Daphnia pulex: one gene and its partner. The protein of the gene in region 1 purifies or fractionates together with the protein of each later gene. This does not show direct contact. Links are inferred from orthologs where the notes say so. Each region holds a gene or a part of one and is shown on either strand. Other genes may lie near its edges.

Region 1 (4,331 bases):
TACAGATTACAGCGTGTTCAAAACAATAACTTATGACCAAACACAAATTGTATCTAACAGGAAACCAGCTAGCACTGCTCGATTTACTGATTACAGCTTCCGATGACGGCCAAGTTCTCTCCAATCAGGACATTCAAGACGAAATTGACACTTTCATGTTTGAGGTACTATTTCCCAGTAAAAGTAATTATTGATTGAAGCGCAAACAAAAGTTTCTGATGTTTAATAAGGGTCACGACACGTCGGCCTCAATGATGGGATGGTTTCTCTACTTAATGGCAGTGAACCCAGAATGCCAGGTAAAAAACAATTGACGCTATTATACTATAATGTATAATATCCCTAGCAATCAAATTTTCATCCGGTATTTATATCGGGAATTTCACATGACACCGTGTATGCCACAATCAGGAAAAAGCGTACAACGAATTACAAGATGTCTTTGGGAAGTCGGAAAGCGAATGCACTCAAGAGGATATTCCCAATTTGAAGTATCTTGAATGTTGCATCAAGGAAACATTGCGGATGTACCCCAGCATAGCTGGATTTGAAAGACATGTCCAAGAAGATATTCGAATCGGTGACGTTACACGTTTTCTAATCCGCATCACTTGCTAATATAGAAGTATAATCTTTTTGTCCTTCTATAGGGAATTATTTGATACCTGCCGGTTGTTCGGTGGGATGTCTAGCTTTAACTACGCATAAAAATTCCAAATGTTTCCCAGACCCTTTAGTTTTCAAGCCAGAGCGTTTCTTGCTTGACCAGGCCGTTGGCCGACATCCGTACGCTTACATACCATTTAGTGCTGGACCTCGCAACTGTATCGGTATTTTAATTTCTAAATTATACGTATTTTATAATGATTTTGCCAAATGCCGCCTTTGCATTACTTTTGTGTTTGTAGGTCAAAGATTTGCAATGTTGGAAGCAAGATCGTGTTATCGAATCTTCTCCGGCGATTTAAATTCGAGCAATCACCCAACGCAACGGCTCCGATTCCTTCATTCCAGATAACCCTGAAATCGTTAACCGGGATTCATTTAAGCGTCTCTTGTCGTTGAAGACACTTTTCATGAAAAGTAGTAAGAGCATGGAGTATTAGACAGCTGAATCTCAATTCCAGAAACATCTATTTCTCCAAGCATAGTACAAGCTCTTTGGTGTAATATAAGTCTACCAAGTTGACAGATAAATTTATTGTTGATTGAATTTTATTACGGTTTCAATGATTTTCTGAAGTAGCCTACATGTCTGCTTAAAAATAAAGATCCAAATTGGTAAGATGGCAGATGGTAACTTCGTACTTTATAATTTGAATCTGGGAGGGATTATGAATGAAGCTTTAAATAATCTACTATTCTTATCTTATTTATTTATTTTGTTTTAGAAGATAAACTTGTCTACCTTCATCTCCAATTCTTCCGATTTTCGAATTTAGGCGGCTTCAACTTTAAAGCAAATGTTACAATAATGTCCGCTAGATGGCATCTGTTTTATCGTGACCTATCCGATTTCGTCATATTCTCGAAAACACTCATAACATTGAAACGTCGTGTCATTGTCGTGCATCCTCTATTCTGGTAACTGGTAAAATACGAAATCGAAGAATGTCTCTCAATACTGCTCACGCAAATAACGGTGTGCTGATTTATGCTGGAGAATGGTGAGTTGTAGAGACATCAAATAACTAACGAGAAAATCGAATTCGCATTTACCTTTGACAACTTATATTTCAGTATTCTGTTGTATTGCGACAACGTCGTGATGGAGTTCAGCGGGCAAGATAGACCAGAGTTTAAGGGTGATAAAGCAGGCAGGCTCTACTTGACTACTCACAGGATGATCTTTAACAGTTCGACAACAAAAGATCCTCTTCAAAGCTTCAGCTTTCCGTTTTGCACCATGAAAGATGCAAGTTCATTTTTCTCATTAGCACTCGAATATTCAAATAGTCATGACAACTTGATATTAGGTTGAACTGGAACAACCCATGTTTGGAGCAAACTACATTAAAGGAAAAGTTCGTGCCCAGCCAAATGGTGGATGGGTTGGAGAAGTCAAGTTCAAGCTCCACTTCAAACATGGTGGAGCCATTGAATATGGACAAGCTATGTTGCAAGCTGCAAGTATAAGTATGTTTCATTTTCTCTAGTTCTTTGTATTTTGTTGTATGTTTTTTAACAGAGAGGTTTTGTATTTTCAGCCAAGCGTAATCATCAATATTCTGATGAACCACCTGCCTATCAGCCACCATCTGGACCATGGCATAACGCTCCACCACCAGCCTATTCTACTCCTAATGGTGGTTATTATGGATGGGTGCCTCCACCCACGAATGCATTTCCCAATGCTCCTCCAGGTTGGTTTATATCTATTCCTTCTTAGAACTCAAATTGAAATTCATAGTTTAAAATTTATTTATAGCAAATTCAGTTTTCATGACTGACATGCCTCCTCCATACCCTGGAATTTATCCTGGAAATGCTAATAATGGATACGCACCATCTTCAAATGGTAAAAAACTCAAAGGATTTGTTTTTGTTTGTTTCAAATAAAATGCAATTTTTGTATAGATGCCAAGGCTGCCGAAGCTGCCGCAAGCGGAACTGCCTACTACGATCCCAATACTCATTATGCTTACGTTCCTCCAGCATATGTAAGATTCCATTTAAAAGGTTCCTTCACTGACATGAAAACTAAACATTTTATTTGTTTTTCTAGTCCAACGATGCCCCGCCCAGCTATGAGGAGAGCAAGGACAAGAAATTCAAATAAAGAGCATCCAAATTCGCAACATTCACGGTCGGCAAATTTTTCTCTATTCCCTAATATACTTCACATCTATTTAAGAAAATTATAGTTGTGTGTATTTGATGTCGATCTGATATATCACGCTATAGCATTCCTTATTCCCGTTCTACCGAGAATTTATATCTACTAGTTGATTTTTTGCGTTTAATCTCTAGTCGTTTCCCGACCGTTCGTCTTGTAGTTTTTTTTTTCCTGAATATTATGATCGTCCCACTCGATTTTAGATCGTTTCCGGCTCTTGTATTCTGTGAAAGAAAACTTTTTTCCATCCTGGAATAGAGTATGTGTCGCGCTTCAACTCGTCTGATTTGTCTCTTGGTTTTGGAAAACAAACTTATAGCGATTTTATAGCACAACAAACGATGAAATAGTGGTAGATTTGATGAGAGGATAGAAGTATGTTGGCACGACGCACGACATAATTTATATTGTTAAAACATTTTTTTTTTGTTCGATCAAAGGGTGAAGTGGCCGCAAATCGTTTGCGAGCTCAAAGGCCGAGTATGTCACAGAAAGACTCGTACTTGAGCTTCTCGTAAGGTGAAATTTCGAAGCAACCGTAAAGCTTATTCACTTTGTAGCAATCCGTCCGGCTCAATCCGTCGCGCTGGCCGATCTTGGCATCACGACGCTTCGGCACCAACGTTGGCTTGTCTCTTCCCGCACTTAATTTTGAACATGGAACATAAAATCTCTTCACTTTATATTCCATTTTAAATTCATTTTGAAAGGCTAGTTACCTGAAGAAATGGGTCCCGTAGTGCATAATGGACGTGTAGTCGTACTCGAAATCGTAGGTCGTGTTAAGCAAACTCTGCTTGGCAAAATTATGCAAAAATGCTGAATAGAAGAAGGGAATGAAAATAGATCATAAAAAATTTGAGAAATTTCGGTTCAAAATTGGCTCACGTTTAACGACATTTTCTTGATTCAAAGTGACGTAGTCATCTCGGTCTGCTCGTGATTGCTCGTGAAAAATACCCAAGGCGTGGAGCATTTCGTGAATAGCTTTTCCCGGCCCTCCCAGACACTTGGGACCTGTTATGTTTGATAACGTTTTTAGAACTTGTTAGTTGCTGGGGTCCGGATTAGAGGTAAACCCGTTTTTTTTTTTTTTTTTTTTCTTTTGTGTCGGTGTGGCCATACCTTGACTATCTGGAGGCTGAAGCGACAGGACCTGCTGCCCACCCGTACGACCGATGAACGACCAGCAACTGTATAGACAGAAGCCAACCAGAATTTGAATGAGTACAAATATTTCCCTCAGCTCGGTGGCAAAGGCCTTTTTTTTTCTTTCTTTTCATGAACTAAAAGTGGAATTGTTCTTATCGTGAGAAGCGGTCGTTACCCGGCTGGTTCCTCGACAGGCCAAATAAGCAAGTAGTCCTCCACCTCGCCGTCGTATGGGACGAAATCGATGCAGGTCATCAATCCAAGGGTGTACAAGGCTGTTTGTATGGTTTCTCGGTCGACCGGGTCTATGGGGGAAAAAAGGTTGTGTGTTAGACATTTAAAA
Region 2 (4,009 bases), on another chromosome or scaffold:
TAAAAAAAATGTGGTCTATAATCAAGGAAAGAAACCTATATGTAAGTTTCATGTCAAATAATTCATTGAACCAATAACTGATATGTTTTATTCAAAATTTTGTCTAGGATCCCAAGAACAAACAGTTTGCGGTTTGTGACGAACAATTACAGAAAGTTTTTGGTAAAGCCATTTCCGTTCTAGTTCAAAATCTGTGATTTCTAACGAGTTTTATTTTTTTTACAATTTATAGGCGTTAAGAGATTTCGTACATTCGGCATGATGAAGTACCTCAAAGCTCATTTCATTGATTAAATTGATCGGGAAAGTAAGCTTTTAAAGATAAGGGATCAAAAGCTGGCGTGCACACTGCGGAATGAATTAAGCTATTAAGAATGAATTAAGCGATAGCAAAACAAATGCGACATTTTTCTATTTTATTTTATTTTATTTTTCTTCCTTTTTGCGGGATATAAAAAACTATCCTACGCGCCGTTTTGGAGTTGACGTAGAGTCCATCCGCAAGGTGCCAGTTGTTGAATGGTATCATTGATCGCTGTACTCATTTTACTGGAAGTTCTCGGTTTAAATGTTTGCTTTGAAAAATCTGAAAAGAAGTTGTCGTACGATTCTGATGGTGCGTGATGGTAGATGCAAGTTCGTTTATCTCTTCTCTCGCTTTTAGTTTTGTGGAAAAAAGGAGAGATTGATTGGACAGGTTGATTGTATTTCTCTTACATGTTCTTCTACAATTTCACATCGGGGTTCGTGTTTTTCCATCCCTATGCATGTTTTCAATCCTTGACCATTTGAGAAATTCAAAAGCATAATACACATACAAACCTTATCCGTCTTGTTTGCAAATTAACAAGAAAACATAGTCATTCGTGAAAACCATAAATTGTGTAAGATTATTGCTATGACCGACGTTAAAAACAGTTTGCTGCGATAACTTCCAGCTAAATTATTTAATGAAGAAAAGGTTCATTGCTTCTCTATTTACTAGTAATTCGATAATAATTTTCATTCGTATTGCATTCAATTGTGGAAATTTGCTTTTTGTATAAAAAAAAAGCATTTGAAACACTAGATCATGTAAAATTATTGTAAAAAAAAAGAAAAAACAAGTATCAGGTAAAATGAATTATAGTCGGAAGATGGCGTCCGAGTTTGTTATTGAAAAAATTGATATGCCAGCCTGCCACCTTCCGGCTTTTGCCTAGTTGCATAGATGAGGTGCATCAGTTACTCGCCAGACTGTCTTTTGTGTGGAAGGGTGTGTCGGCTGATTATTGAGTTAACCTTTTTCATTTTTTATGATCTTAGTTGTTGTCTTTCTTTGTTTAGCATATTGTAATTCCCTTACCTATCCTATCTGCTCGACTGCTTGAAAGTTCTGGTATCATTAAAATGTCAAAAAATCCCGAAGTGGTCGAGCACAAAGAACGGAATCAAATCGTACACATTCGTGGCGATTCTGATTCCGAATTACAAGCCTTGTTTGACAGCGTACTGAAGCCTGATGCCCACAGACCATTGCAGCTGCCATTTCGGTTGCGAAATCTGCCAGATTCTTTCTTCAAACCACCTCCAACTGGATCAAAGTCTCCTTCTGTGGCATCTAATTCACACAGCAGAGAAAACAGCACAGATTCTGGGCATTTTGCTTTGAACCCTTCACCATCAGCCAATATTCACCATTCGAGAGCACACAGCTCTCCAGCCTCACTCCAACAGACTTTGGCAGCTGGTCAACAACGACCAGTACATCAGCACTTAAAGCAACAGAGTTGTGACTTAACTCTCGATCACTTCCCACTTCCTGAAGGATGGGAACAAGCCAAGACACCTCAAGGACAAGTCTACTTTTTAAAGTAATCTTTCTTTTCATTTATTTACTTCTTAAGTTAGATCTAGTCCTCAGTTACAAGCTCAAAGTTTAGTGAAATAGTAAAGTTGCAAATATTTTGCGTCTGTCCCCACGAATTGAAACTGTGTCGTACATCACGATTGAATAATAGCATATAGCCTCGATGAAAGCGACCTTGCAAAAGCACTACTCAGCCAGCGTTCATTGAGTGATGGCGTAAGTGAAGGACAGGCGCCGGGGTAGGTTAGCTAATTCTGCTTGCGATATGTGGACCCGAAAGTCATGGCGTTCTATTATTAAACGGTGGCGGATTCAGAGTGCGAGGAGAAGCAATAGGAACTACATAAAAAGTCTTGAGGGGTGGCCGATTTGAGCAAAATGCGCAGGTTGAACGGGACAGTTGAGAGCGTGAGGAGGGGTCGGAGTTTGCCGCTGTCGAGACGCAGTTTGGAGCAGCTATCTCAACTGCAAAAATAGAACCGGGCCGTGCCTTTATGGAGCAACCATCCCTCAGTAGGGTAAAGCTGCTTTCACACTTAGGAGTTTTTGACATAAGAAAATTGGGTTCTGCAACCACACCTTTTTTCTTGGGAGAAAATACGATGAAATTGTGAGTTGCAGAATCCTATTTTGTTTTTACTGTCAGAAAAACCTCTTTTTTCGTGTGTAGCATGTATATTTTTTTGTAGAGAAAGATAAAAGTTTTGTTTAGCTCTGAATGAATGGTTGCTAGGTCCACTTCATCTCTGGTAACCATTTTAAGATTTAGTCTCTTGTCGACAGCGAGAAACGCTTTCTTTAGAGGTTGTTGCGTTTCAACCCCTCCTTCTCAACTTACGGCGCCTCATTCGTCTCACATCTCGAAAACTGATTGCTTATTTATTAAATTATAACTACATACAGTCATGCCCGACTACTAGAATATTTTCTCTTGCCATCTGATACGTGTGTTGGGGTTGGCCAAATCGCGTATTTTTAAGGGTTCGTCGAACAACCGTTGAGATCTCATAGTTTCTCAACTGAATAACTCAAATTTACCACGATGGAATGTATACTGGCCTTAAGTAAAAAGAAAAAAGGTCTGTGGAATGCCCTCCTACCTTTTACCATTTTTTTTTTCTTCTTCTTTTTACCTGTAAAGAAAGAGACGGGGGCAAATGCCTGTGGTGTTTAGGAGAGAGAGAATGCATAGCGAAGCACGGGGGATCTCTACGTTTCCTGCTGGTGGGTTAGGTTGCTTATTGTTGAATACCTTGTTCTTTTATAGTGACCTTGGGTACGAGTCCCCCCTCCTCCCGCCATCTCTATTGAGACCCTCAGCGAAAGAGAGGAGCCGTTTTCTCTGTCTCCGAGCTTTTATCCAACTATTTTCTTCTTCCTGGATCCATTCTTACCTGTGGCTATGGGCTGACCTTTCCATCTTCTCCTCTACTTTCTCCTCCGTATGTACGTTATCTATCCACTTGTTTGACCAATTTTTTTGTTCTTTTCTTTTTCTCCGTGAGGGTTGCTTTTCTGTCCTTTGGGTTCCATGCTAGCCTTTTGTGAAGCCCATCTTCGTTCTTTAATTCATGAGCTCGTTGATTCGATCCGAGCCAACGCGAACCGCCTATCATCCGCCTTTGGTTGGACTCGCCATTTTTGGGAAGGAGAATCTGCACACGGAGCAGGTTTCTCTCTCCCCCTCGACTCAACCTTTTATGGATGGAATTCCCACGGCTTCTCAATTCATCCTTAGAAACTCCAAATCCCTCATGAAAAAAAGTATTCTCTTCGAAAAATATCAACATTTTTAACTGGAATACGAGTTTCTTTTGTTTATTTAAGCTTTTTTAATCGTACAAATGAAGCTCGTCCAGGTAAAAAAAAAATATGAATCCGCATTAAAATGAATGTGTTGGTTCATTTCTGGGCGCCAGGATTTAGAACTAGTTGTCATTTTGTGCAATGCTACCGGTTTCGACAAGCGACCTTGTCCGTGCAAATTTAGGTGCGTTTGCCCATGAGAGGCGGAAACAAGCTTGAACGACGTTAGGATCGGGGACGGTCTGCCCACCTTAGTACGTTTTCCGTATTCTCCGTTTTACTCTTCTTTACTTCCCAAGGCCATGTGACCGAGTGTGTTGTTGCTTACATTATTCCCCTTCCCTCCCTCCCTCT

What was found.
Region 2: the proteins of WW domain-binding protein 2-like (region 1) and transcriptional coactivator YAP1-A-like purify together in Homo sapiens (affinity purification with mass spectrometry; 7 studies listed by BioGRID and IntAct, with this or other methods). This does not show direct contact. The link is inferred for Daphnia pulex from reciprocal best matches to the Homo sapiens genes WBP2 and YAP1.

Annotation. Positions count from the first base shown.
Region 1 is NC_060023.1:8,646,042-8,650,372, forward strand, and holds the start of WW domain-binding protein 2-like, read left to right. Parts: upstream 1-1,510; 5' UTR 1,511-1,611; coding exon 1,612-1,667; intron 1,668-1,740; coding exon 1,741-1,915; intron 1,916-1,976; coding exon 1,977-2,136; intron 2,137-2,207; coding exon 2,208-2,363; intron 2,364-2,428; coding exon 2,429-2,518; intron 2,519-2,577; coding exon 2,578-2,660; intron 2,661-2,725; coding exon 2,726-2,779; 3' UTR 2,780-2,806; exon of another isoform or gene 2,807-3,305; coding exon of another isoform or gene 3,306-3,480; intron 3,481-3,555; coding exon of another isoform or gene 3,556-3,655; intron 3,656-3,724; coding exon of another isoform or gene 3,725-3,853; intron 3,854-3,961; coding exon of another isoform or gene 3,962-4,029; intron 4,030-4,163; coding exon of another isoform or gene 4,164-4,293; intron 4,294-4,331. Other genes in the region: hatching enzyme 1.2-like, read right to left, coding at 3,306-3,480, 3,556-3,655, 3,725-3,853, 3,962-4,029, 4,164-4,293. UniProt on the Homo sapiens protein: Acts as a transcriptional coactivator of estrogen and progesterone receptors (ESR1 and PGR) upon hormone activation. In presence of estrogen, binds to ESR1-responsive promoters. Synergizes with YAP1 to enhance PGR activity.
Region 2 is NC_060025.1:6,895,076-6,899,084, reverse strand, and holds the start of transcriptional coactivator YAP1-A-like, read left to right. Parts: upstream 1-1,209; 5' UTR 1,210-1,389; coding exon 1,390-1,853; intron 1,854-1,952; exon of another isoform or gene 1,953-2,367; intron 2,368-4,009. Other genes in the region: nucleolar protein dao-5-like, read left to right, coding at 1-41, 108-162, 233-294. UniProt on the Homo sapiens protein: Transcriptional regulator with dual roles as a coactivator and corepressor. Critical downstream regulatory target in the Hippo signaling pathway, crucial for organ size control and tumor suppression by restricting proliferation and promoting apoptosis.